Linked DNA regions of Pelodiscus sinensis. The main gene of each other region encodes a partner of the protein of the gene in region 4 in a complex. Links are inferred from orthologs where the notes say so. Each region holds a gene or a part of one and is shown on either strand. Other genes may lie near its edges. The genes, in order: LSM8, LSM5, LSM7 and PRPF4.

Region 1 (6,912 bases), on a different chromosome or scaffold from region 4:
TTTTAGTCATTCTAGAGATGTTTGCCTACTACATCAAAGGCCAAGGCAGGTTTGCTGTTACCGTATGTTCTGAACATGTGAGTAAAAATAATTTAGGGTTTCTAGGGCTATCAACCTGACATCTTGCATCACTACAGCTTTAATTTATAACATTAACTAATTGTGATTTGACTGGTTTAGAAAAAAGCAGCAGCTGTACTTACACATTATCTCCTCTAACAATATACAGTCCCAATACTACTTGTTCAACTCCTTGTGAAGAACTGAACACCCGTTCATGGCTTTCATCCAAAATCAAGTTGATGGTCTGATCAAAACCTTTGAGGGTTCCCTAAAAAGTGCACAAAAATTTTGAATTCCAATTATCTTTAAGTTTCTCATTTTAGGTCACAAGCATATCCCAGGTAGCAGTATATTATAGAAGAGTTAACAGATTTTATTCTGAGTTTTAAAGCTGAATAAACACATACTCTGTTAGAGACTGGAACTTGAAAACAGAGTCAGTTTAAGACAATTATTTACTATCATGTATTACAAGTAGCAAGGAGTTAAGATTAGTGTAACTTGAATATGAGTCACTTTTTTCAAGCATACTTTGTGCAGTAGAGAGCCCCTTACAAATAGCCAGTTTCACCATTTCTGCTGTAGTTTTCCTTGTTTGTTTTAAACTGACAGACTTTTAAAAGTGATGTCTCTTTTTATAAAAAAAATTACTTAGGTTCTGTATGAAAGATGAGAAATGTTCAAGATGAGCTGTTTCCAAGCTTTATTTGTTTGTAGCATCTGCCATTAGAAGTTGAATGTTCTGTTTTCTAAAAACTCACATACTCCAAGCAACACTATTTGCATAGTACTAATTTATACTCACCACAATCATTCTTCCATCAGAAGTAATAACTGCTACAGTGCCTAACAGTATAGTCAAGGAAATCTTTCAAAATATATATATTCACAGCTTGAAACAATATGTTAAGTTCAACAAAATCTGTAATATAAATTATGAGGCAAGAAATTAGACTCTGTTCCTTAAGAATTTCTTACTCAAAAAATTGTTAAAGAAATCTGTTAACTGAGTGATGAAATCAACCTCTGAAATTAGCAGTCATCTAGGTAATTTTTTTTGTTTGGTCAAACCAGCATCACACTGTTTTCCTTTTTCCCTAAAGGCTGGAGAACTATACAGGCAGTCCCCTAGTTACGCGGATCCGACTTATGTCGGATCCGCAGTTACGAACGGGGCCTGTCTCCCTGGTCTCCAGCAGACCAGGAAGAGGAAGCAAAGCGGCGGAGGCTGTCCGCTGCCCACGTGTTCCGCCGCTTTGCTCCCCGTCCCCCTGGTCTGCAGACCAGGGAGACGGGGAGCAAAGCAGAGCAAAGCCAAGGAGCCCAAGGGCAGCAGGACAGCCACGGCGTGTCTGGGCTGTCCCGCTGCCCCCGGGCTCCGCGGCTTTGCTCCGGACGCCTGTGGTACAGCAGCTGGGGCGCTGCCGGTTGGTCCCGTAGCGCCGCTCTGGGCGCTACTGGACCAACCCGGCAGCACCCCAGCTGCTCTGCCCCAGGCGTCCTGATTCAGCCACTGCTGGTCAGTTTCAGCAGCGTCTGAATCAGGACGCCTGGGGCAGAGCAGCTTGGGTGCTGCTGGGTTGGTCCAGTAGCGCCGAGGAGCGGCGGCGCTACTGGACCAACCCAGCAGCACCCCAGCTGCTCTGCCCCAGGCGTCCCCAAGTCAGCCGCTGCTGAAACTGACCAGTGGCTGACTACAGGAAGCCCCTGCCCCAGGCTTCCTGGAATCAGCCGCTGATCAGTTTCAGCAGCAGGTGACTTGGGGATGCCTGGGGTTCTTAAGTTGAATCTGTATGTAAGTCAGAACTGGCGTCCAGATTCAGCCGCTGTTGAAATTGATCAGTTTCAGCAGCGGCTGAATCTGGACGCCAGTTCCGACTTACATACAGATTCAACTTAAGAACAAACCTACAGTCCCTATCTTGTACGTAACCCGGGGACTGCCTGTATAGCAAAGTGGCCTTTAACTCAAGGCACTGATTGTTCAAATGTAAGGAGTCAGATGAGGAGGAACTAAAGGTTTATCCCACATTGCCCTCATGATATTTTCCTGTCCCATGTCCACTAATTGTACTCACAGAAAGCAGCAGACCCCCAAATATTGAGGAAAGCATTTTTCTTTGTCACCTGGCCAGTGTCAGCCACCCTGTCTAGGCTGACTCCCTAAAGAGTTTTGGTTATGCCCCCCCATCTCTGTTTCTGACTCTGGACTACAGATTCACTAGATGTAAGACCAGAATTGGATCATTAGAGTAACGAGTCTGATCTGCAGGTCCCAGCTCACCCCGTACTGACCATCATTTGTGCTGGGCACATTACTCCAAGTAACGAACAGTCTTCCCTTCAAAACACCCCGAGATGCTGATTCGGGCGCATCCCTGGCTGGTCTGTGAGACAATCACCCTGACAACTAAACGCTCCTGCCCTCGTTTCAAGCTGCGTGTTCAGCCTCGGAGCCCCGCCGGGGTCACTCTCATTGTCCCCGTTTTCCAACTGGGTAAACTGAGGCACTGGCAGCGACTTGCCCCATGGCACCTAACTGGGCAGAGCCAAGTCCCAGCTCAGTGCTCTGCCCACTAGGCCGCGCTGCCCCCACGCCAGGCGTCCCCGGGAGGTCTCTCAAGGCACCGTGAGCAGCAATGGCTCAGCCCCATCCCCGCACAGCCCGGACCAGCTGAGCCGGCCGGCACGGGGCGGGGAGCCTCCCATACAGGTCGCCGCCGAGACCCTCAGGGAAAGGGGGAGCAGGGCGCTGTAATCCCCCCCCAGCCGCCCCCGCCGGCGGAAGGATACGGTTGATGTAGTTCTCCAGCGCCGAGGTCATGGCAGCGACGGATCCGTCCCGCGCTCTCGCTAGCACCGGGCCCTCAACCGCTTCCCGCGAGACTTCGCGGGTTCCCGCGCCAAACGTTCAGAGACGCCGCTGGCTCGCCTCGCTGCGCACGCGCGCGCATGACGCCAGTTGGGGGGGGGGGGGGCTGTGTTTTTTGCGGTGGCCGCCAGGCGTTTCCTGCGGCCGTTACAGTCTCTGGGCAAAGCGCTGGCCCCTCCCCCGCGAAGCCAGGCGAGACGCAAGGCTGAAGGAGCTGGGGGGCGGGATGGAGGCTCCGGGTAGTTGGGCGGCGGGATCCTGGCCACCCCCCAGCCGTGTGCTCCAGCCCTGGCTGCCGGTGCCGACTCTGGGCTCCGGCACGTCGGGCTCCGGGTTCAGCTCCTGGGCCGCGCGGCGCCCGGCTTGTCTCTGGGCTCGCTGGGCAGGCCCCGCCCCACCGCCTTGGCCAGGCGGCAGCAAGTTCTGACCCAGCCTCCAACTCCAGCTTCTGGCCCCGGCCCGGCCCGCGGGCACTGACCCCTCCCCCCATCTCATGGCAGCGGGCGCCAATCCCCGGCTCCAGACGGCGGCGGGGCTCAGCCCCCCAACCTGCATCCATCACCCCATTGCCCCGGGCTCCCGCTGCGCCCTCAGCCCAGCATCTGTTCCGCCATGGGCCCCACTGCCGCCCCCACCGCCCCCCTCAGGCCCTCGCCCCTGTCCAGGGTTTAATTAGTCCTGAGGAAAGTGCTGTTGTTAAACATTCAAGTACCGCTTTTCTCAGCAGACACACTAGTTTGCTGGGAAGCTGTGAAAAGTGACACTTGTATGTAGGTTAATATCCCTTATCCTTTTTCACAGCCTCCCAGGTGGCTATCAGGTGTCTGGCGAAAAGTGATTATTAAACAAATATAAATATCACTGATCACAGTACTTGTTTATTATTACGTCTGCGAAATAACCCTACATACATACATTGCAATGATCTGGATGTGCAAACGTGTGTATATTAATTTGTTTTTTCTTAAATTCAGAAGTGAACTTAAGCTTAAGCTCTGGCAACAGCTGGCTGAGCTGCAGCAAAAGCCAGCAAGGAGCTATTCAAAGAGCTGGCAGGGACCCAGGTTTCCATAGACAGTACCTGTAATAAATTTTAAATTACTTAAATCCCTGTTTACATTAATTTCTTATTTTATGAAAGATGTTAGCATGACCACCAGCAAGAGTTGATGGCCACAATCTGAGGCCACCAAAATGCTTGTTGTGAGAATCACTAGCCTTGACTATCTTTTAGGAAGAATTCTTGCTATGATGGAAGTGTTACAGAGGTACCTGAATGTTATTGGAGGCAGAATAAAACTCTCCTCTTCAGTATCAGGTGGCCTCAGTATGGACACTAAATGCAGGCCTTGGGAGCTCTGTGTTGTAGCCTTACTCATTTTCTTATCTGTGTATCTCAGGCAGGTAGCAGCCTCCTGTCAGGCTACATGCTAACTTGATCTCAGTGACCTAATTGTGGCACATTCGGAGGGGGAAAAAACAACAAATGGTCTGGTAGCACTTTATAGACCAACAAAACATGTAGATGGTATCATGAGTTTTTGTGGGGACATCCTACTTCTTCTGATGATGGGAGTTATGAGTTGGGGATATGAAAAATCGAAATAAATAGGAGAGGGGAGGGGGAGAAAAAGAAAAAAGGAAGGGGGGATGTGAGACAGAGCATCATTAAGTATCTGGAGAATGGGTACTTAAACCTAAGCAGATAAAAAATCAAAGTCAATAGATAAGATTGCTAAGACAGGAAGGATACCACTCAGAGAGCTGTTAGCACCTTCAATGGATACTAAGTAGGTAGTGTCCTAGCCAGCCCATATCACTATTGGGTCCATTAGCATGTGAACTGAATTTGTGGATGAACTGTGATTCCAGTTCTTCCCTATGTATCTGGCTTGTGGAGCTGGCCTGTGACAAGACAGCCGCTTGCAGGTCTGTAAAACTGTGGTTAGGCAAACAGAAATATTCACTAACAGGCTTCTCTATGTTCCCTTTACGTATATCTGATATGTGTCCATTGATTCTTTCCTGCAGAGACCGTCCTGTTTGTCCAATATATATTGCAGTGGGGCACTGCTGGCATTTGATGGCATAGATTAAATTACTAGATGTGCAGTCAAATGACCCTTTGATTTTGTGGCTTATGTTGTTTGCTCCAGTTATGAATTCGTCAGTGTAGATATGTGGGCAGAGTTGGCATCTTTTTTGGTCGCAGGGCTGGGTTCCTAAAGGCTTATGATGTGGTTGTGTGGCATAGTTATCAGAAAGAATACGTTTCAGGTTAGGGGTTTGTCTGTAAGCAAGAATAGGTTTTTCTCCTAAGGCCTCTGAGAGTGAGGGATCATTTTCCAAGATGGGTTGTAAATTGTGTGTAATGTGTTGGAGGGGTCTGAGTTGTGAACTGTAGGTAACAAGAAGAATTCTGTTATTTTCTCTTTTGGGCCTGTCTTGAAGTAGTTCATGTCTGGGTATTTTTTTTGTCTCTGTCAATTTGTTTTTTCACTTCCCCAGTATTTCAGTTTTAGGAATGCTCTGTAAAGATCCTGTAGGTGATTGTCTCTGTCGGTGGGGTCGGAGAAAATCCAGTTGTATCGTAGGGCTTGGCTGTATACAATCGACTGAAAAATGTGTCTGGGATGGAAGCTGGAAGCATGAAGGTAAGTGTAGCATTCGGTGGATTTATGATATAGGGTGGTGGAAATTTGTCCATTATTTAATTGTACTGTAGTGTCCAGGAAGTGGATTTCCCTTGTGGACTGGCCCAGGCTGAGGTTGATAGTAGGGTGGAAGTTGTTGAAATCCTTGTGGAATTATTTAAGAATGTCTTTTCTGTGGGTCCATATGATGAAGATGTCATCGATGTAGTGTACGTAAAGTAGGGATATTAGGGGGCGAGAGCTGAGGAAACGTTCAAGGTCAGCCATAAAGATGTTGGCATATTGTGGTGCCATGCGAGTGCCTGTGGCTGTGCCGCTAATTTGGAGATAGAAATTGTTTCTGAACTGGAAGTAGTTGTGGGTGAGAACAAAGTTGCAGAGCTCTGTAACCAGGTGTGCACTGTTGTTATCGGGGCAGAGGCATAGCGAGGGTGTTATGCGCCATGGGGCAAAAGCAAAATTTGCATGCCACCCGCCACCCTTCCACCACCACATGACAGGGGCCCGAACCTGGTGCACAGCTCAGCCCGACGGGGGCGGGGGAGCTCGTACCACATCTTTCCCTACCCCCTCCAGTTTGGGGCGGGCACTATCCCCCCGTTGAAGAAGAAGGAAGGTCGGGCTGTGGGTGCAGAGGCAGGAAGGAGGCTTCAGCAGGCAGTGGTAGATAGAGGAGGAGCAGGTGAACAGAGGTATGATAGGGGGAGCAGAATGGCAATTACCCTCCCACACCTCCTTTGCTAAGTCAGTGAACGTAAGAGATTAATTTACCTGTTAAAATAACACTCAGAAAAAATCTTTTAAATAAAACTAACACACAACACGAGAATTGCTCTCGCTTTCTTGAAGCAATAAGTAGCCTAAGGCTGAGGATACACTGCAAGCGAGGCTTTCTGTCTGCCACGAGGACTTTTTCCTTCAGGCTTCTGTGAGATTCTATCTTTAAGTAAAGGAGAGAGGTCTCTCTGAGCTGCTCTTCCAAATTTCACACAAGCCATTCAGCTGAAGCCATAAATATCAAGAGTCAAAGCCAGCTTTGCCTTTGGCAGATTGCCTCGCCAGGTGTTTACAATCACAGCATCCGAACATGTATAAGACTTTTAGTTGAGAAAGTCATATTTAATCCCAAGTCTCTGCTATGACTGGGAGATGTGGGTGACCTATAGAAAACACCAGAATTTTCTTTGGAAAATCCACAACAAAACGTGGGAGGATTGATCATCTTGATAATGCCAATTCCTTTACAATTGAGGCTCTGATCATCCAGCATCAGCTGAGGTAGAGCGTGCACTACATGCACATGTCAGATACATTTTTAGCAAA
Region 2 (7,820 bases), on a different chromosome or scaffold from region 4:
TCTATTTTCCTCACTAGGATTTGGCGTCTACTTTTTAAAAGATGTCTTTTTATCTGTCACTGCTTCTTTTACCTGGTTGTTAAGCCACGGTGGCACTTTTTTGGTTCTCTTACTGTGTTTTTAAATTTGGGGTATACATTTAAGTTGGGTCTCTATTATGGTGTCTTTGAAAAGTTTCCATACAGCTTGCAGAGATTTTACTTTAGTCATTGTACCTTTTAAATTCTGTTTAACTAACTTCCTCATTTTTGTGTAGTTCCCCTTTCTGAAATTAAATGCCACAGTGTTGGACTGTTAAGGTGTTTTTCCCACCATAGGGATTTTAAATTTTATCATATTATGGTCACTATTTCCAAGTGATCCAGTTATATTTACCTCTTGAACCAGATCCTGCACTCCACTTAGGACTAAATCAATAATAGCCTCTCCCCTTGTGGGAAATTTTATCTCTGCATCCCATCCTGAGGTGATGTGTACCTAGTCATTATGGGGATAGCATTACTACTTATGAAAAACAGGAAAACAAATGGGGCAGACTAGGCGGGCGGGATACCAGGAATTTCCCGGTGGGCCGTCATCTGAATGGACCATAATATCTACCGTGAAGCTTCTAATACCGTGGTCACCAACCTATTGATCACAATTGACTGGTCGATCGCAAGGACTCGACCAGTCGATCGCGAGGTGTTTGGGGGACCCCCTCTGATTTTCCCCCACCCCCAAGAAGTCCCACTACCTACCTCCAGTGACAATGGAGGTAGTGGTGGCTTCCTGCGGGGTGGACAGAAGTCCGGCAGCTACGTGCCACTTCCGGGGGTTCTGGAAGTGCAGTGGCTGCTCCCCTCCCCCAGGTCTGTGGCATACCGGGAAGTGGTGTGGTGGTGGTGGGAGTCCCCAGAGGAGGTGCGCGCAGGGGCTTTCTCTCCTCTCTGGTGGGGGGGAGGGTGGAGTCGTCCGCGGAGGAGGCGTGCAGTGGGGCTTTCCCTCCTCTGCAGGGGGAGGGGGACGGGAGAGGAGTCCCGGGAGGAGACGGGTGTGGGGGAATCCCTGCCCCCACTGGCACCCTGTGCCCTGGTGCAAAACTCTGCCCTCATTCCCCGTTCCCTTCTGGTACCCTGTCCCCCACTGGCACCCTGTCCCCTGTCCCCCACTGGCACTCTGCCCCCACTGGCACCCTGCCCCCACCCCAGCACCTTGCTCCCGGTCCCCACTGGCACTCTGTCCCCTGCCCCAGTACCCACTAGCACCCTTCCCTAGTACCATGTCCCCTGCTCCCACCAGCACAGTTAGGGCCACATTAGTGAGGCTTGGGGGGTTTTTGGAGGAGATTTTTTTTTTTTTTTTTGCATCTCACTTGTGTGGCCCAATTGACTTTTCTGTGAGTCAGTGACCCCTGATTCAAAACAGGTTACTTGCCCTTCTCATCAATAAAGACAATGCAGAAACTTTTTGTGCTTGTCATAGTATTTTATTTAAAAATGAAGCCTGGCCAACAACCTCCAGCCCCGATCTGGCCACAGCATCATAACACTCCTGCACACACACCCCTCCCCCCCAGATCTTAGATCTGAGCCTATCATACACTGGAACCCCCTGCCCTGAGCCCCTGACATACTCCAACTCAAATTCCTGCACCCTCACATCCACAAGCCTGTGGCTTACTTAGTACCACACCCCTTCATCTGACCCCAACACTCCCCAGCCTGGAGCCCCCTCCCTGATCCAGCATCCCCTTCTCCACCTCCTCCTGCATCTAAATTTCCTCCCAGAGCTTGCACCCCTCACCCCTTCCCACACTCAAATCCCTCATGCTCACCCCAGAGCCCACATATCCTGTCTCAAGCCAGTGAGGGTACAGTTAGACTGCAGGGCTGTGTGTACACTGGGCCACTTATTCCGGAAAATCAGCCGCTTTTCCGGAATAAGCTGCGAGCTGTCTACACTGGCCCTTGAATTTCCGGAAAAGCAATGATGCTCTACTGTACAAAATCAGCTGCTATTCCGGAAAAACTATTCTGCTCCTGCTCGGGCATAAGTCCTTATTCCGGAACACTGTTCCGGAAAAGGGCCAGTGTAGACAGCCCAGTAGTCTTTTCCGGAAAAAAGCCCCGATCGCAGAAATGATGATCGGGGCTCTTTTCCGGAAAAGCACGTCTACATTGGCCACAGACGCTTTTCCGGAAAAAGGGCTTTTCCGGAAAAGCAGCCTGCCAATGTAGACGCTCCTTTTCCGGAAAAACTGAAAACGGAATAGTATTCCGTTTTAAGCATTTCCGGAAATTCATGCCAGTGTAGACACAGCCCAGGAGTTTTTTCAGGATTCCAGAGATATCCCGGAAAAACTCTTCCGCGTCCATGGATGCGTTTGTTCTTCCACTTTTTTTAGTGGAAGAGCAAACATGCTCTTTCGGCAAGCCCTGTATGCCTCATTCCATGAGGAATAAAGGGGCTTCCAAAAGAATGGGTTTTTCTGACATTTGGTCCCATCCAGACAGGCCAAATATTGGAAAAACCTCTTCCTACAGAAGAATCGGAAAAAAAACCCCCGGCAGTGTAGAGTGTACAGCCAGTCTCTGACTTACGAACGAGTTACGTATCAAACTCTAGGTTATAACTCAATCTGTTCGTAAGTCGGATTACATTCACTTACATATGGCTGCGCTGTTCATAAGTGCGGATTTCATTCGTAACTCGGGTTCCAGCTGTATAGGAGGTTGGTCGTAGATACGAACGGTTGTAAGTCGATGAGTTTGTAACTTAGGGACTAGCTGTATAAGGGCTGGGGATAGCAGGTAATGGAGAGGAGGAGAATAGAGAGGGCTGGGCTTCAAGGAAGGGGTTGAGTTTTGGGGGAAGGATGGAGTGGTAGATCCTGGCTTGTTTTGACATTTAAAAAGTGGTCTTGGGTGTAAAAAGGTTGGAGGCCACTGTTCTAAGACCAAAAAATCTATAATACCAAAATTCAAAATGTTTCTGAATAAATCTGAGGCGGCTGAGGCTGTGTGTGTATGCGGGTATGGTCGGGCTGCTACACTGGCTCGGCCTTTGTTTCTTTGAGCCAAAGTGAATGACGTCACATTACAGTTGAAATCAACAGAACGGACGTGCAATGTGCAATGTACGATGGTGCATGACAGCAATGCGTAGGCCTGCTTTGTGCAATGGTGGAATCAGAGATGGAGTCGCTTGAGTCTTGACCGGTGAGTAGAGAGTACGCAGTGGTTGGATGAGTTCTGTTATCATCTGTCATTGTGGGTTTGTGGTTTTCCGTAACTGACAATAAATAACAGTGCGAGTATGGTGTAAACGAACAAAGATAGTGTGCGTGGAAAAAGTAAAAAAGTCGGCTGTTCTCAACCCATTTCCTTGGCCTATTTTGATTGCCAGTCCGCCCCTGAATACAGAGTTTGAATTCCGTGATTCATTCTTTTGAAATAACGAGCTTGGTAGTGTGGACACACAGCTTATAAATTTGACCAGGGATGGGAAGTGGGGGGTGGGGATATTTGGGAATAAGGTCCTAGAGTAGACCAGGGCTAAGAAGTGTGCAGGTATCCCACAATACATTCTGATTTCCAGTGGGAAGATGGCATGGAAGACTCTAGGATGGCTTTCTAAAGTGCAGTTTGTCTTCCGTAATGTAAGTTGATACTATCTGGACAGAACGCACTGGTACCAACAGACAAGCGTGAACACACTCTGTTGAAATAGTTTTTTTGATGGCACCATGTTGACCAAACTTTTCTCATAAACTTTCCAGTGTGGAAAAGGCAAAGTTTAAAAATATTTGTGAATCGCAAAAAGAGAAGGACTAAAACAAAAATAACAAAATAAAAAGGAATTAAAAATTAAGTTTCAAACATACAAGAACATAAAAAAGGATTTAAAAGCTCCTTCCACTGCGCTCTTTCTCTGAAACTTTTGTTGTCTTTTTGGTTCTGCTATTGTAAGTGGCCGAGCATCAACAATTCCTGAAAGGTGTGCAGCACCTCACAGTCAATAGGGCTAGTCACGGAATTTAGGACCATCATCACTCTTCAAGTATTGGCACTTTGGATGCCGATGCACAATGGAGTATCTGTCCCATCTTTAGTTCATGAATTCTTTTAAGTTGGGATTGTGTGTATATGCATATTGTTAGTGCTAACCAAATTAAATACCCAATGCTAATGCAGACTTAAGGTTGCCCAGTGGCATCTTATGCCGTAGGAGAATGTGAAGAGCACCTAACTTAAGTTTTGGGAAACCAAGAAATGAAAACCTAAGGTGACACATATGTAAAAACTTTGAAAACTAGGGAAGACAAAGTCACGCTTCCCTATAAAATATGGTCTTCATTACCCTCCCTGAAGTTTACAGTAGCCACTGGAATTGATTAAATAAGATTTGCTTTGAGCCCTTCATTATCCTGCTGGTGCTACCAGATGCAAAAGTAAGGCCACAATGCTTAGGCTTTGCCTATACTACTTCCCTGAGAGGCGGTGGTTAGAATTTTCCCATCAGCCTAGTGAATTGAGAGATGTCGTATACCAATTGACATTCTGAGTGTAGGCCGGCCTACATATTGGAGGTGGTATTGCCACCTGTGAGGGATAAAAACCTGGGATGTCCAGTATCACCCTGAGCCCATCCAACCATACATCAGGTGGCAGGATGTGTGGTGCACCTGTGCAGATTTCCGGAGGCAGCTACCACAAAAAAGGAACTGTCCTGGACAGGGAGTCTCATTGCCAAAAGCCCATTTTCCATTGAATTTGCGTGGAGGCAGTGGGAGGGTAGGATGCTGCCCAACATCTCTGAAAAGCAGGCTCTGGCATCTGCCTTCTACAGCCAGAGCCTAGGAGCTCCAGCTGTGCGCGCGCGCCCGGAGACTGCAGCTACGTCCAAGCGGGCGCACGATTGCTCTGACATCCATTGGTTAGGGCTGCGGGGGGAGGCTCCCAGAGTTATTCAATCCATCAGGCCGAGGCCCCTCTCTCTTCCACCCGCCGATAGCGGCGATTGGTCAGGTCTGGTTTCAATATGGCGGCTAACGCCACGACCAACCCGTCTCAGCTCCTGCCGCTCGGTAACTAGCTTCCCCCCTCCTCGGCCCGCAGCGGCGCGGGGTGCCCTGATATTCCCCGATCGGGGGCGGAGGGAAGGCTGATCTGTTTGTAGGCGGCTTTCGGTGGCGCTGTGGGGGAGGGGCAGTCCGAGGCTCCTCTCCGGATGGGGTGGGGGGAGGAAGGCAGGTCGCGCGGGCCGTTACCGCCGTTGGAAAGCCGAGGGAACGTGGAGGGCGGTGACGTCTGTGCCCAGGGGCGGAAGGGGCCGCGCGCGCGCCAGGGCCAGGTTGTGCCGCAGCCCGCCCCGAGCGATGGAACGTCGGTGCAGAGCGGCGGCGCCGCGGGGATCTGATGGGGCCGGGCCGCGGCGGCTCCGGCGTGTGGGTTTTGCTGCCCCCTCGGCCCCTCCCCGGCGGAAGTAGTGGAAGTGGCCTCACCTTGCGGTGTCGCGCGGGCTCCTTTGGGTCGCTCCGGCGGCGAGCCCGCGCTACACAGCCGTGGCCAGCTCTGCCCTGCGCCTGTGGCGGGGGGTGCCGGGCATCACAGTCTTGTTTTGTGCGGGGCACGCCCCGTGATGTGAGTAGGGTCCTGCCTGGGACTCTGATTGCAGGGTTCCGTTAATGGACAAGTAACAGGCATCTCTTGTCTCACTTTTTTTTTTAGGTGGCTTGGGCCTGGCCTGCCCCTGAAACGAGAGGGGGGAGGGACTCTTAGAAAAATCGGTTGGGGGGGCCACACAAGTGAGAAACTAAATAAATGAAACTCTCATTGACCTGGCCCCGAACTGAGAAGGAGGAGAAAGACACTAGCTTCACTCCCCTCGAGCTCTAGTCCCATGGGGCCGGGAAAGGAGAGAAGAGGGGGTGCTGAGGTTCAGGGCTCATCCCAAGGCTGGCTTAACTCTTCTATGGGTATGGGACTAGAAGATTTTTGTAAGTGTTCTGAGCAGTCGTTTTGAAAGTGTACAGGTTTACCATGTTCTTTAAAGGGAATGTGTTAAAAAGATGATCACTTAATATATGTTTTAAGTTGTATGTAATCTTACATAAAATATTTTCTTATTTGCAGAGCTTGTGGACAAATGTATAGGTTCACGTATTCATATTGTGATGAAGAGTGATAAAGAAATAGTTGGCACACTCCTAGGATTTGATGACTTTGTCAGTATCTTTTTAAAATGTAAATGGCAAATATTCCCACTTTTCTTTTTAAAGTAAGCTTAATTATTTAGCTGTTTGGATATCCGGTAGCTAGAATTAGGGATGTAAGGGAGTAGTCAACTACTTTATAAGCCTTTTCTTGTCTTCCTTCCCCCTCCCATTTTTTCCTTTCTTCCACACCCCACCCCCCTGGTCTCCCCTATTTATTTTGGTCCTAGACATCCAACACTCCGGTCATCTGAAGAAGTGGGCTGTGCCCACGAAAGCTCATGATACCATCTACATGTTTTATTAGTCTATAAAGTGCTACCAGACTATCTGTTGTTTTTTCAGTTTACCTGTACAGACTCTTGGCTACCCCCTGAAGCTTCTATGTTTATTAGAACATAGGTAGCAAGATGGGGAAGGGAGGAGCAGGAGCCGGTGCTGTCTCTATCAGGGGTAGGGGGGGTTACCTGGCCACAGACATGCTGCTTTGCATTAGCGGCCCCTGTGCGTAGAAGGTCCTGACTCGCTGCGGGGACCCTGGTGCACAGGGTTGGGCTGAGTCCCAGCTTGCGCTAGGTGCAGGACCAAACCCTGCTATGGCTTCAATTTAAAGTGCAGTAGAAACCAGGGGGCAGACTGCCCAGCTCCTACTACCTTTTAAATTGAAGAGCTGCAGTGGGGCTTGGTGTCTCACTTGGTGCGAGCCGGGCTGCCTATCAACAAATCGAGTAATCAATAAAAATTCTATTGGCTACTGGATTAATTAAATATTTGCCTCTTAACATCCCTAGCTAGAACAGATGCTTCTACTTTTTGCATGGATAAATATTACACACTAGCTGAAGTTATTTTAAAAATTAAGTTACATTGTTTTTATAAAATGGAAATATAAAATTATTAAATCAAGGATGTTTTAGTTTTTTGTTTTCCTTGACAGTAGACCTCAGACATGGTATTAGAGGATGTTACAGAGTTGTAAGTATTGTTTCTGTTTTTTGTGTGTGTGTGGCTATTTGTGTGCTTTTCTCTTTTTCTTTCCCATTTATAGCAAAAGTAAAGTAGAAAGAAAAGCTGTGGGGGCTTGCTTGTGGCTGATTGGAATGGCTCCTCTCTAGCTGGCTCTGTTGCATTGCGGATGGGGGATTGCTCCAATCAGCTCCGCTTCAGGAGGGCTGCTCGCACTGGCCCTACCTTCCAGTTAACCAATTACCAGGTAAGCATGCTGCTAAGGCCAATGCTTGCTGAGTAACTGGTTAACTCTTTACATCCCTACTTTAAATTTGACCTGCTAAGTCGCGTGAAAGCTATACATTGCCTTTCCTTCATTAGCATTTTACATTTAACTAGTTGACGTAAGTTTTCTTGGGGGCAGGGATTGGCTACTGAGGTCATTTTCACAGACTGACTGTCACATTTTCTTTGTTTTTTAAAATGTTTCCAGTTTGACACCCTTGACTTTTTTTTTTAAAATCTGAAATCCATGTTGAATTTCCCACTAGTTTTAATGTTTGCTTCTTTGCTTTGACCACAGATAAAGAGTTAAAAAGTAGGTATAATCCAGGATAGGAAGGCATTTATCTTACCTTGCAACATTACTCATATTGTCAGTTTTTCATGTTTTGAG
Region 3 (6,900 bases), on a different chromosome or scaffold from region 4:
TTAATCCTGAGCTGATGGTGTCAAACTTGCAGATGAACTGTAGCTCAGCAGTTTCTCTTTGAAGGCTGATCTTGAAGGTTTTTTGCTGCAGGATGGCTACCTTTAGATCTACTATTGTGTGTCCAGGGAGACTGAAGTGTTCTCCTACAGGTTTTTGTATACTGCCATTCCTAATATCTGATTTGTGTCCATTTATTCTTTTATGTAGGGACTGTCCAGTATGGCCGATGTATATAGCTAGATTGAATTAATCTCATAGACTCATAGACTTTAAGGTCAGAAGGGACCATTATGATCATCTAGTCTGACCCCCTGCACAGTGCAGGCCACAGAATCTCGCCCACCCCTCTTAGAATAATCCTCTCACCTATGTCTCAGATATTGAAGCCTTCAAATACTTTGAAGGCCCCAACATGCAGAGAGTCCTTCAGCTGTGATCTGTGCCCAATGCTACAGAGGAAGGCGAAAAACCTCCAGGGCCTCTGCCAATCTACCCTGGAGGAAAATTCCTTCCTGACCCCAAATATGGCAATCAGCTAAACCCTGAGCATGTGGGTAAGACTCACCAGCCAGACACCCAGAAAGTTCCCTATAATGAATGGTCAATTAGTTACCAAGATCATGTTATTTCATCCAACCATCCCCTTATCATAGAATCATAGAACTGGAAGAGACCTCAGAAGGTCGTCAAGTCCAGCCCTCCGCTCTAGGCAGGACCAATCCCATCTAAATCAACCCGGCCAGGGCTTTGTCAAGCCGAGACTTAAACACCTCTAGGGATGGAGACTCCACTACTTCCCTAGGTAACCCATTCCAATGCTTCACTACCCTCCTAGTAAAATAGTTTTTCCTAATATCCAATCTGGACCTCTCCCACCACAACTTGAGACCATTGCACCTTGTTTTGCCATCTGTCACTACTGAGAACAGCCTCTCTCCATCCTCTTTGGAACCTCCCTTCAGGAAGTTGAAGGCTGCTATCAAGTCCCCCCTCACTCTTCGCTTCTGCAGACTAAACAGACCCAAGTCCCTCAGCCTCTCCTCGTAGGTCATATGCTCCAGACCCCTAATCATTTTGGTTGCCCTCCGCTGGACCCTCTCCAATGCGTCCGCATCCTTTTTGTAGTGGGGGGCCCAGAACTGGACACAGTACTCCAGATGTGGCCTCACCAAAGCCGAATAAAGGGGAATAATGACATCTCTGGATCAGAGATTATCCTCATTATCTCTAGCCTGATTCTGGCCTGCATATTTATACCTGCCTCTGGATATTTCCACTACATGCATCTGATGAAGTGGGTCTTTGCCCACAAAAGCTTTGCCCCAATACATCTGTTAGTCTATAAGGTGCTACAGGACTCCTTGTCGCTTTTGCAGATCCAGACTAACATGGCTACCACTCTGAAAGTAGAGAGGTAGATCTCAGAGTCATCATAGAGAAAGTAGCTGAATTTGTGTTTGCAAATGAGACAATTCAGAGATAAACTGTTTTGGGAGACAAGAAAGGGACCAAAAAGACAGCCCTTTAGAAATCCTCCCTCCCCTACTGGGGGGTAGGAATGAAGATCACCCAATGGACACGAAGGAGCAATTAGAGAGGTGGAAGGAGAACCAGAAGAGCACAAGGACTTAAAAAAAACCCAAACAAACATGGTCAACTGTGCCCAAGGTAGTGGGTAAAGTTAAGGAGCAAGAGGACAGAGTACCAGATGTGAGCTTTGGCTAGGAAAAATCCATTAGAGATTTTGGAGAGAGCAATTTGGACTGAGTGGAAGGGGTGGAAGCCTGACTGGAGAGTCTTGGATTGAACTGGAGAGGAACTTCAGGCAGCAATTGCAGACAGGCATTCAATGAGCTTAGAGAGGGACAGAAGAGAAACAGAGCAGTCACTGGAGAAGCAAGTGGAGACAAGAGTGATATTTTTAAGATGGAAGAAACTGATATTTGCTTGGTGAGGCAAGAGAACCAGAAGAGAGTCAGGGGTTAAGTAGAAGAATAGGGGAGGAGGGGGGAGGGAAGTAATAAGAGTGACCAGCAGGGAGATCACAGGATGCATTGGTGTTACTGGAGTACATGGGAGGAATTTAGGAGACAAAAAGCAGTTAGGATTACAGCTGTGGGATTCATTATGTTGCCAATGAATTATGATTTGCAAACCCGCATCATTTAATTTAAAACCTACCTTCCCTACCACCTTGGAATTTTACTCGAATCGTTTTGTCAATATACTTTGAGAGATCCAAGATGCTCTCTTTCTTTTTCTTCTCTTTATCCTAAAGAAAAGGCAGAGTGACATAACTAAAAAGTAAATTGGAATCCTCTCTTGGTTCCATGTTTAATAATTAATAATACATGATTAAGCGTTAGACAGACAGTGCCAGAATGCCCTGCTTAATTACAAGCGTGGGAGTCAGCATCGCCTAGAGGTGCCTTCAAATGACGGATTAGCCAGAGAAGCTGAGCATCCCCATAAACGACCTTTGTTTGGATCTAGATGGCCCAAAGGCCTCGCAGGATGCAGCTTCATTAGCCAGGCCCGTCAAATCAAAGGTGGCTGGAGGGGCGGGGCGGGGAGGGGGTGCAGGCGGCCCCCAGGGGAACAGAGGGGGCGAGGGAGCACCCAGGCCTGGCAGAGGCACGGGGGGGGGGGGCGCACAGGAACGCTCGGGAGTCAAGGCAGGACGCCAAAAGCCCCCCCCCCCCAACCCGGGGTGCGAGAGAAGCCCCCCCGCGAACCGCACAACAGCCGGGGGGGGCCTGGCCCAGTAAAACCCGTCTCCAAGCGGAGCCCCCCCCGCACGCTCGGTCCGGGGGGGGGGGCCCGTTCCCGCTCCCCCTCCCCGCTTCCGGTCCTGAGCCAAAGGCTCGCGCCAGGGCCCCGGCGCTGACCGCCAGGCCCGAAACTCACCGCCATCTTGCGCGTGCCAAGCTCCCCCGCCCTTTTGCGCTTTCACCCCGCCACTTCCGGAGGAGGGGGGGGGGGGTCACGGCCCTGCCCTCTGATTGGCCGCTGCGCCCCCTCGCAGAGGCGGGACTTCCGGGCGGAGGGGCCGGGTTGCTGGGTAACGGGCCCTGCTCCGGGACAATAGGGGCGGCGGCGGGATGGTGGCGGCGCTGGCGAGCCGGGTCCGGCCCGGGCTGCTGTTGCTGCTGGTCAGCCAGGTGAGTCCCCCGCGGGCCTGGGCCCCGCCCCGCCCGCTCCGACGTGCCCGGCCCCGGGCCCCGCTCGGCGAGCGAGCGCGGCCTTGGAGGTGCGGGCCCGGGCCGTGCTGGGGAGAGCGCGGCCCCGCTAGTCGCTGCAGCCCGAGGGAAGCGACGTGCCCGGCAGCCGGCCGCCTGCGCTGGCATTTCCCGGGGCTGGACTCCACCGCTGCGCCCGCGCCCTAGTGCTCCCCCAGTCCGCACATGCCCCGCTAGGCCGAAGTGAAGACTCCTCCGCCCGCCGGCGTGGGGCTGGTGTTGGCCCAGACGCAGGGTTTGGGGCGGTCTTGCTGCTTTCGTTGCAAACGGACAAGAAAGGCCCCGGCTTCCCTGGGGGGCTCGTGGCTGGGAGCCCGGATCGGAAGCTGGGGCCGCTTTGGGCCCTTCTCTCAGCTGGGAGGCAGAGCCACTGCTGGGAGCCCAACAGCCTTGGCAGGGAGCTGTCAGTGGGGCTGAGAGACTGGGCTCCCAGCTCCCCACACTGCCCCTCCTAGGCTGGTGGAAGCACTCCTGATTAGGGCATATGCCACTGGCTCAAGGAGGGTGGTATGGACGTGCACCATCACTGTAAGCTGACTTGATATGTCCGTTTCGATTTGTAGTATAGGACATACCATTTAGCATTGACAAAACTGTGACTTCCTCATAGTTCCTGAAAACAGCTTTCTCTTCCCATTCATAGGAGTCTTTACCAGTATACTCTGCAGAAAAGGGGGTGTGGATCAGAATACTTAATCGTGCATAAGCGCCAAGTGGACATTTTTTCTTGATGTTATCATGTGTCCTGAAATTCTCAGTCTTTGTTAAATTTTCTAACAGGCACCAGCTTGCTTTCTCTCATGTTACCCCTCATGTTCGGAAGGACTTTCCCCAAAAAATCTGCACAACAAACTTATTATTCTCCTACAAAACCCCCTTAAAAATACTCCTTTGCTGTGGTGCCTACAAAAAATAAACTTGCCAATGGTTATGTTGCTGATGTGTTGAGACCACTGCTTAGGTAACTAGTGGTGTCCCCTAGGGGTGTGTCCTGGGACCAATCCTATTCAACTTATTTATACATGATCTGGAGAAAAGGATTAACAGTGAGGTGGGAAATCTTGAGCAATTTAGTATCATCTGCAAGTTAATTAAGACCAAAGCAGACTGTGAAGAGCTTCAAAAAGATCTCACCAAACTAAGTGTCTGGGCAACAAAATGGCACATGAAATTTAATGTTGATGAATGTAAAGTAATGCACATTGGAAAAAATAATCCCAAATATACGTATAATATGTTGGGGACTAATTTAGCTACAGCTACTCAAGAGAAAGATCTTGGAGTCATTGTAGATAGTTCTCTAGAAACATCCACGCAATGTGCAGTAGCAGTCAAAAAAGCAAACAGGATGTTAGGAATCATTAAAAAAGGGATAGAGAATAAGACAGAGAATATGTTATTGCCCTTATATAAATCCACGGTATGCCCACATCTTGAATACTGCATATGGATGTGGTCACCTCATCTCAAAAAAGATATCCTGGCATTGGAAGAGGTTCAGAAAAGGGGGAAAAAAAGATTAGGGGTTTGGAATGGGTCCCATATGAAGAGAGATTAAAGAGACTTGGACTTTTCAGCTTAGGAAAGAGGAGACTAAAGGGGGTTATTATAGAGGTCTATGAAATCATGCCTGGTGTGGAAAAAGTAAATAAGGAAAAGTTATTTAATTGTTCCTATTATAGAAGAACTAGGGGTCACCAAATGAAATTAATAGGTAGCAGGTTTAAAACAACAAAAGGAAGTTTTTCTTTACTCAGTGCACAATCAACCTGTGGAACTCCTTGCCAGAGGATTTTGTGAAGATTAGGACTTTAATGGGGTTCAAACAAGAGCTCAGTAAGTTCATGGAGGTTAGGTCCATCAATGGCTATGAGCCAAGATGAGTAGGAAAGGTGTCCCTAGCCTCTATCTGGAAATGGATGACAGGAGAGGGATCGTGTGATGATCACCTGTTGTGTTTACTCCTGGAGCATCTGGCATTGGCCACTGTCTGCAGACAGGATACCAGGCTAGATGGATCTTTGGTCTGACCCAGTATGGCTGGTCTTATGTTCTTATTTTATTTTCTCTGTTTTCTTGTATTCACCTACCACCTGTCTGTAACCATTTGTTGTCTCTTGTCTTGTACTCAGACAAGTCTGGGCAAAATAGAGCCTGCAGGTGCTGCGGGGAGCCTGAGGCAGGCTTCCCGCTTATAGAATCATAGAGCTGGAAGAGACCTCAGAGGTCATCGAGTCCAACCCCCTGCCCAAAGCAGGACTAAATCAACCCAGCCAGGGATTTGTCAAGTTGAGACTTAAAAACCTCTAGGGATAGAGATTCCACCACCTCCCTAGATAACCCATTCCAGTGCTTCACAGCCCTCCTAGTGAAATAGTCTTCCCTAATATCCAACCTAGACCTCTCCCACTGTAACTTGAGACCATTGCTCCTTGTTCTGCCATCTGTCACTACTGAGAACAGCATCTCTCCATCCGCTTTGGAACCTCCATTCAGGAAGTTGAAGTCTGCTATCAAATCTCCTCTCACTCTTCTCTTCTGCAGCCCAAACAAACCCAAATCCCTCAGTCTCTCCTCATAGGTCGTGCACTCTAGCCCCCTAATCATTTTGGTCACTCTCTGCTAGACCTTCTCCAGTGCGTCCACATCCTTTCTATAGTGGGGGGAGGAATAGCTGAGTGTTTTGAGCCTTGGCCTGCTAAACCCGTGGTTGTGAGTTTAATCCTTGAGGGGGACATTTAGGGATCTGGGACAAATCTGTCAGGGATGGTACTTGGTCCTGCCATGAGGGTAGGGGATTGGACTCAATGACCTCTCAAGATCCCTTCCAGTTCTGTGAGAGAGGATGGCAGATGGATGACTCAGTCCCTCTTAGGAGGGAGTCCCCAACCACCACCACCCATCTTTTTCTTTTGCCTCACCTCACCCGCATGTTGCTCAGAAATACGGCTGTGGGGTGATTTTACTTTAAAACCTGAGCCCGGAGGGGGAAGGATTTAGGAACTGCTTTCGCCCCCAGTGCAATCCTATTGACTGGCTTCTGGCCTGTATTTCCCCTCAGTGGTCCAGCAAGTACCCATTCTCAAGCATCCAGCTCCCCAGCTGTTGCCTTTCTCGGTAGAGATCCTTGTTTCTCTCTCCTTTGTGACTGGAATATTTCCAGGCTGCTTAGTTTCTTGTCTTCCCTGTGTATTTTCTAGGACAGACAGGTGTGCTCAAGGACAAGTGTAATTGCAACAAATGTTACCCTCCACCACGCTACCCGTGCAAGCCTACTTTAGTCCTAAGGTGAAAAGCATTCTAGAGAGAACATTTAAAAATAACAGAACTAGGGATGTTAAATTGCATTGAATCTACTAGTCGATAAGGGGGGAAACTGCAGAACTAACCCTGTTGTTGGCTCTGTCTTTTAAATGTATTAAGACCCACCAGACTTGTCCCTGGTCCCACGCTGTGCCTCTGCCTCCCCTGCTCCCTGCAGAGATGGTGCTGGGGAAAACCAGCTATTAAGCCGACTTCCCCCCGGCTCCTGCTCCCCATCCTTGCTGCCTCTGATAGAGGCAGCGGTGTGGGGGAGTAACTAATCAAGTCACTACTTGACTATACAATACGCTTATGCTTACATCCCTAAACAGAATCCACGTGCATGCTATTGAACTT
Region 4 (6,847 bases):
ACACTGCCGAGACTCAGTTTGTGTAACCCAGCTCTCTCCCTTTAGGCCCCAAATAAGTGACGGAATTCCAGCCCTTCAGCTGACCATGACCTCACTCAGGCCTTACTTACCCTAACTTACCCAGTGACTGATGCTGCAGAGACCCTCAATCAAATGCTGAGGGTGCGCTGTTGGCCCAGGTAATCCACGGGGGTGTGAGGAGTAAGGAAAGGCCAGGGAAGAAGTTTCTCCTGCTGACCTCCTACAGTGGGGACATTGTGAAAATATGACTTTAGCACAGCTAGAGCTGATGTACCTTCTCACGTAGCCGGAGTGGTGGATCTTACGTTACATTTCTCCCCAGCATAGACCTGGCCTCAGAGAACTGCTGGCCATGCAGCTAGTTAACCCTAGCGTTGCTCATTTTATCTCAAACTGTGTATTTTGCTGGTCCGCCTCCGCCAGAAACCAATCCACGTAGGGGTATATTGTTTGTGACCTTGAGTTAAGTCACCATGATTGGTGGCCTTCACTCTCTACCGCAAACACCCCGCAGCATTCTTAAAATTCCTATCAGCTACAGGCTAGTCCCTCTGCCATTTAATTATTTACTGCTTCCATTGGCCAAGTCAAACTTCCCGATCAGAAACCCCCCACAGCAAGTCATGCTTCCCAGCCAGGCTATTGCACTGTTTGCAGTACGTGGAGAACGAGATTGGATTGGGAAGGGGTTCTGAGCCTTCCACCTCAGCACGGCAGTACGAAAGCAGCTATGGTGTGATGACTGAAATGAGTTGAAGTCTAGCTCATTTCTTAGTAAATTAGCAATGCATGCACCAGCCATTGCCACTGGCTCCTTGCAGCACACCCGCAGGAGCCAAGCACTTGACAACTTGCAGAGTCTAGGGAAGCTTGCCCTGCCTCTCCCTAGTGTGGGGAGAAACCAAGTCTTTCACATACCAATGCCCAGTCCATTACACTGCACCATTTGGAGCTGGGCTTTCAAGAACACTGAAAGGACTGCTCTAGGGAGGCAGAGCTTTGCCTCTGTGCCAATCCCCATGAGGCAGTGGCCATGGTTGACTCCTGTTTTTGTCCCATGCAGGAGGCCAATCTGCTGTTAAAAATTTTCTGTTTGCCTTTAGGAGCCCCATGTGCATTTTCTGATATGTTGAGTATCTCATTTAAAAAAAATATTTATTTAAAACAAAGTGGCTGGGCAGAGAGATCTCTGGAAATGCAGTAATCAGTCAAGTTAAAACACACCCACTAGTCTTTGAAAGAGGCAAACACTTTCCCTTATTGAAGCCCGAGACTCGTTGGCAAATCCGGGCCAGTCCCAGCCAGCTCTAGAGCTATGCAAACAGCCTTTGAACATCTTTGCCAGAACAGTCTGGAACGCAACCTCAGAGTCCAATGCTCAGCTGCCCACAAAGTAGCAGGCCCCCTAAACTCTAGAATTCAAAGCTTCCGAACTGGGAGGAACGGTTGCTGGGTTTGGGTTGAGGTTTGTAACCGATCCGGTCATTTATCATTTGTTCTCGGCTCTTATGGTCATTGCTCAGACCAATAGCTCCTTCTTCCTCGTTGGCTCCCACTCCATCCACCTCTTCACGCTGCTTCTTACGACTCTGCCAAAAAAAAAAAAAAAAAGCAATCAACTAAAAATAAGGACAATGGAAAACTAGAGCTCTTCCATCAAAGGGATCTTAGCAGTGTCGAGACATCCATTTCAGTTCTGACCACTGACCTCAAAACTGTGAAGGCAGGAAAAATGGTAGATAAGCTGATTTCATTCCAGGAAACCTGCTTACAGACTGAATAAATTCCCTGGGCATTTTGCATAGCCATAAGGAGGGAAATACATTGTTCTGTAAGAGTTAATACACAAGTCACGGCATTCAGACACCTCCCTACCTACATAGACACAAACGGCTACCAATTCACAGAGCTGATGCTACCGTCACACAGGGGCACAACAAGTTAAAGGACTTAGTCAAGCCAAGTCTTATACTCCACTGTGACGGAAATTCAACTGCTCAGGATGTTTAGAGAAACTAACTCAAAATGGGGGGACGGAAGGAAGGTTGGGTGTGTGATAGGTTGCCCCCTGATGTAGTAGGATACTAATAAGCCCCAACCTATTCTGCCAGCCTGGGCACCCTTTAATCCTGTCTTGCTGAGTCAGACTCTTAAACCTCCTCCAGCCTGCGCCCACACACAGGGCCACATCCAGTTGCAGAAAAACACAGACACTGAGCTCAGCAGTGGGAAGACTCAAGGAATTTGCCTCATCACTCAGGTACCCACCTTCCTTGGAATGCAAACCCAAGAGGATCTACCCTCTCTCAATGTGGCATGCAGAGCCTCTTACCAATTTCACAAACTGCGTTTCACAAGAAATAAAATCAAGTTTACTGACTAGAAAGGGTAGATTTTAGAGTGAATGTAAAGGACAGCACACAGAACAAAGATTACTGAGCAAGTAAAATATACAGACTCGATGCACTAAAGACACAGGCTACAAATAGTACTGTCTCACCCTAAATGTTATCTTGGGCAGATTGCAAAGATTCTTGAAAGTCAGTTACAGTAGCCTGCAGCTTAAAACTTCAAGTATTACTACTCAAAGAAAGTCACCCTTCTAGCCTGGGCTCAACTTGTTGCACCTCAGTTCAGTCCTTGTTTCCAGATGTGTCTGGGAGGCAGAGAACTACAATGTCATTCTCCTGCCTCATAGCTTTTGTATATGCCATTACATCTGCCAATGTAAATACTGTGTTTGACCCCAATAGCTGTAGGTCAGGGATGAGCAACTATTTTTTGCTAGGGGCTACTTAAAACATTTTGTAAGTGGCCTCAGGCTACTCCAGAAGGGGCGGGGCTTCCAACTGAAGGGGCAGGGCCAGGATGTTTCTGGGCTTCCCCACCCTCAGACCATGATTGGCCTGGGGGTGGGGGAGCCCGGAGGCACCCATGCCCCTGGCACTGGGAGGAGTCTTCCCGCGGAGGCTCTTTTGCCCACCCCTGCGGTTGGTGCATGTATACAGATGGGCTCTGTCTACACGGGCAGTTTCTTGTGCAAGAACAACTGTTCGTGCGCAAAACCTTGTCTGCTGTCTGCACTGCGCACGTGTTCTTGTGCAGGTAAATTCACAGCACAGCGTCGGAAAACAGCTTCTTCCGGACGAGTTACTCCTGTCCCCTCGAGGGACGAGCCCTCTTGCGCAAGAGGCCGGTGTCCACAGGCAACGGCAGAAGCCCTGTGGCTAAAACGGCCATGGGAGCTCCCTGCGCAAGAGCGCCCAGCTGCCAGGGATGCGCTTGTGCGAAAGCGCCCGCCGGTGCAGAGCGGCCTGGAGCTCGCGCAGCGATCGCCCCGCAGGGACATCACGGCCGCTCCCCCCCGCCCCTCGGGGCCGCCTGCGCGTGCGGGAGAGCGGGGCCTCGCCAAGGGGGCCGGGCCGGGGGGGGGGGCGGGGGGCCGGGGGAGCCGGGGGGGGGGGGCCGGGCGGAGGGAGCCGGGGGGGCGCCGGGGGGGGCCGAGCCGAGCGGGGGGGGGGGGCCGGGCCGGGGGAGCTGGGGGGGCCGAGCCGGGCCGGGGGGGGCGCTCACCTCCAGCTCCTTCCGGGTGCTCTCGAACTCCTCGATGTCGTCCAGCTTCAGCTCCAGGCGCGTGGGCTTCCGGCGCAGCATCGCGGGGGGGCGGAGGGGTCAGCGAGGCGCGACCAGGGCGGAGGGGGGGAGCGCGCCGATCAGCTCCCGCGCCCCGCGCCGGCCCCTCCCGTCAGGCCCCGCGCACCTTCCGGAACGCCGGCCTGCCCCCGGAAGCACAAGCGTCCCGCTCCTCCCCGGGACCCGGAAGCGGAAGTGACGCCTGGCCCGGGGCTCTCGCCCCTCCGGACTGACATGGCTTCCTCGCGGCCTCCCGCCCTGCGCGGCGCCCCGGGGCGGGCGGCGCCTTCTCCCCAGCCGGGCCCGGCTCCCTCCCCGCGGGTAGGGCCCGCTCGGCCTCCTCTGCCGCTTCCGCCGCGCAGCAGCCCCCCCCGCCCCCTCCGCACCGGGCGGCCCTGGCCTTTGTGGCGGCTTCTCTCTTAAGAAAAGGAGCCGCCGCCGCCTGCTCTGCGAGCCCCGCGCTTACCTCGCCCGGCCCGCTTCCTGCCAGGGCTCGCTCCGAATGTCCAGTGCCTGGGGGTTACTTGAGCCTTGAGCGCAAGGGCTACTCGGGACCCTTTCAGGCCTCTGGGTACGCGCTGCTTGGCAGCCCTCCTGGGCACATGCCCGGCACAGTCCATTCAGACCCATCTGTAGGACTAACTTTTTCAAATACCGTCTTGAGTTTTGTTCCACCAAAGGATTGAGAGCCACACGCCAACTGGGGGAAATGTCAAATAATTGGGACCATTGAGGGCACTCTCATTGCAGAAACAAAAAAGCATGTATATGTGCAGTTATGCCAGAGGTATTATGAGATCATTGGAAATGGATTCTTTATTTAGGGAATAGAATGTTATAATGTGGTAACTAGTTGATTTGACTTTTGTGTGTATTTTGGAAAAATTGGGGAGTAAAGTGAGGCAGTCAGGGTGTCAGTGAGGTGGATAATAGAGGGGAAGGAATTTGCTGAATCCTTCATGTTCATAGTTACATTTCCCAGTAGTCTGAGATCTTTGTTTTTGAAGGTCTTAATTATTTGTAAGGAGTGTAATTTTGTTACACATAGTAGCTGGACTCTATTGAAAACATTGTCTGCCTTAATCGTGATCTGCAAATTGGTTTGTGTTCTTTATGCACTACAGGCAGTCCCCGGGTTACGTACAAGATAGGGACTGTAGGTTTGTTCTTAAGTTGAATCTGTATGTAAGTCGGAACTGGCGTCAGCCGCTGCTGAAACTGATCAGTTTAAACCGCGGCTGAATCTGGACGCCAGTTCTGACTTACATACAGATTCATCTTAAGAAACCCAGGCGTCCCCAAGTCAGCTGCTGCTGAAACTGATCAGCGGCTGATTCCAGGAAGCCTGGGGCAGAGCAACTCTGCCTCGGGCTTCCTGTAGTCAGCCTCTGGTCAGTTTCAGCAGCGGCTGACTTGGGGATGCCTGAGGCAGAGCAGCTGGGGTGCTGCTGGGTTGCTCCAGTAGCGCGGCTCCTCAGCGCTACTGGAGCAACCCAGCAGCACCCCAGCTGCTCTGCCCCAGGCATCCTGATTCAGCCGCTGCTGAAACTGACCAGCAGCAGCTGAATCAGGACGCCTGGGGCAGAGCAGCTGGGCTGCTGCCGGGTTGGTCCGGAGCGGCGCTGCGGGACCAACCCGGCAGCCCCCAGCTGCTCTACCCCAGGGGTAGGCAAGAAAAGCCTGGTCTGCTGGGGGGGGGGCACTAGCTGCACCTCCCCCACCCCTCCAGCAGACCAGTAAGACGGGGGTGGCTGGACCACCCAAGTCCTCCACGGCTTTGCTCCATCTCCCTGGCCTGCTGACTTGGGAGACGCGGAGCAAAGCTGCAGAGCACGCGAGCAGCGGGACAGTCCAGGCGCGCCGCGGCTGTCCCACTGCGGGCGTGCTCCGAGGCTTTGCTCCCCATCTCCCTGGTCTGCTGGTCAGGAGACGGGGAGCAAAGCCGCGGAGCACGCCCGCAGGGGGACAGCTCAAGTGTCCCGCTGCGGGTGTGCTCTAAGGCTTTGCTCCCCGTCTCCCTGCAGACCAGGGAGACAGGGAGCAGCTTTTCTCGCCCCAAAGGACGGGGGCGGCGGACCGCGGCGCATCTGGGTGTCCTGTCCTCCGGGGCGAGAAAAGCCCCGTTCGTAACTGCGGATCCGACATAAGTCGGATCCGCGTAACTCGGGGACTGCCTGTAGTCCAATGGATAAAGAATGATTAAAAAGGATGGATTTTTAAAGTTTGTTTTTTCTGCTTGTTTTTTTACATGAGAAATTAAGGATGTATCTAAGTTAGAAGGCTCCCTGATGGAGAACTTGTGAAATTATGCAATTGTACTGTCATAATTATGACATAAGATCAGAGATGCTTGAGCTTTTAAATTGAGAAAGGATTACTTTTTAAAATTTTTCTTCTGTTTACTTTTGATAAAAGCTATTTAGATTTGAAGGCTAACTAATGTTTTGAATAATGAAATTCCTTGGTTCAAAATACCTTATACTACCCAGAAGTCCCCCAGCAAAGCCAGGGAAGGGCAGACTACATTCTCAGGGTTTGTTTCCACATGGACTTATTTAGGAACATCTCTGTGCGCATGCTCAAATTCTGGAGCATTACATGTGGTGTAATGCTTTAACTGAATCCGGAGGAGCAAGGCGTCATTGGTATTCCAGAATAAGAGCATTCACACAGATTTAATCAGCATCCTACCTTAATCTCAATTAACTTTGAAGTGTAGCCCCAAAGGAAGAACCTAGCAGGGGAGCAAAAGGCTAAAGAAAGCCTGAGAGCATATTTGGTAACATCATAAAGAAGCAGAAAAGATCACAAGTCCAATTTTTAAAAACATCCTTGGCTTGCTGCCCTCTAATTCTACTTTAACACATTTTCAGTGAGGAATAGTCTTGCTGTCCAGATGAATCTTGTATATAAAATGTAAGGGCTTCTTGCCTGGCTGACCTTGTTAACTATTTCTCACTGGGGGATGCTGTCTCCTGCAACTGAGGAGATTGCTGAATTGCTGCTTTGTATCTGAATAAATATCAAATGAGTCTTTTGAAATCCTGCCTTCATTCTCCAGGGAACAAAAAACAAACTGTTGGAGGACAGCGATGCTCCACTACCCAAGAGATCCCATATCTTCTATGGCAGTTTGGAGGAGAAGGAGAGGGAGCGTCTTGCCAAAGGAGAGTCAGGACTGCTGGGGAGAGAG

Evidence for each region.
Region 1: PRPF4 (region 4) and LSM8 share a complex: the UniProt entries of both Homo sapiens proteins name them as parts of the precatalytic spliceosome. The link is inferred for Pelodiscus sinensis from reciprocal best matches to the Homo sapiens genes PRPF4 and LSM8.
Region 2: PRPF4 (region 4) and LSM5 share a complex: the UniProt entries of both Homo sapiens proteins name them as parts of the precatalytic spliceosome. The link is inferred for Pelodiscus sinensis from reciprocal best matches to the Homo sapiens genes PRPF4 and LSM5.
Region 3: PRPF4 (region 4) and LSM7 share a complex: the UniProt entries of both Homo sapiens proteins name them as parts of the precatalytic spliceosome. The link is inferred for Pelodiscus sinensis from reciprocal best matches to the Homo sapiens genes PRPF4 and LSM7.

Annotation. Positions count from the first base shown.
Region 1 is NC_134711.1:44,603,721-44,610,632, forward strand, and holds the start of LSM8 (LSM8 homolog, U6 small nuclear RNA associated), read right to left. Parts: upstream 3,003-6,912; 5' UTR 2,888-3,002; coding exon 2,857-2,887; intron 910-2,856; coding exon 869-909; intron 332-868; coding exon 204-331; intron 1-203. UniProt on the Homo sapiens protein: Plays a role in pre-mRNA splicing as component of the U4/U6-U5 tri-snRNP complex that is involved in spliceosome assembly, and as component of the precatalytic spliceosome (spliceosome B complex).
Region 2 is NC_134712.1:171,653,539-171,661,358, forward strand, and holds the start of LSM5 (U6 snRNA-associated Sm-like protein LSm5), read left to right. Parts: upstream 1-4,811; 5' UTR 4,812-5,022; coding exon 5,023-5,068; intron 5,069-5,132; exon of another isoform or gene 5,133-5,156; intron 5,157-5,235; exon of another isoform or gene 5,236-5,428; intron 5,429-5,434; exon of another isoform or gene 5,435-5,624; intron 5,625-6,116; coding exon 6,117-6,212; intron 6,213-7,143; coding exon 7,144-7,171; intron 7,172-7,820. UniProt on the Homo sapiens protein: Plays a role in pre-mRNA splicing as component of the U4/U6-U5 tri-snRNP complex that is involved in spliceosome assembly, and as component of the precatalytic spliceosome (spliceosome B complex).
Region 3 is NC_134729.1:26,010,765-26,017,664, forward strand, and holds the start of LSM7 (U6 snRNA-associated Sm-like protein LSm7), read right to left. Parts: upstream 3,004-6,900; 5' UTR 2,915-3,003; coding exon 2,909-2,914; intron 2,274-2,908; coding exon 2,183-2,273; intron 1-2,182. Other genes in the region: SPPL2B (signal peptide peptidase-like 2B), read left to right, coding at 3,103-3,162. UniProt on the Homo sapiens protein: Plays a role in pre-mRNA splicing as component of the U4/U6-U5 tri-snRNP complex that is involved in spliceosome assembly, and as component of the precatalytic spliceosome (spliceosome B complex).
Region 4 is NC_134732.1:1,348,820-1,355,666, forward strand, and holds the start of PRPF4 (U4/U6 small nuclear ribonucleoprotein Prp4), read left to right. Parts: upstream 1-3,843; 5' UTR 3,844-3,888; coding exon 3,889-3,975; intron 3,976-4,172; exon of another isoform or gene 4,173-4,432; coding exon of another isoform or gene 4,433-4,441; intron 4,442-6,715; coding exon 6,716-6,847. Other genes in the region: anaphase-promoting complex subunit CDC26, read right to left, coding at 1,434-1,610, 3,595-3,675. UniProt on the Homo sapiens protein: Plays a role in pre-mRNA splicing as component of the U4/U6-U5 tri-snRNP complex that is involved in spliceosome assembly, and as component of the precatalytic spliceosome (spliceosome B complex).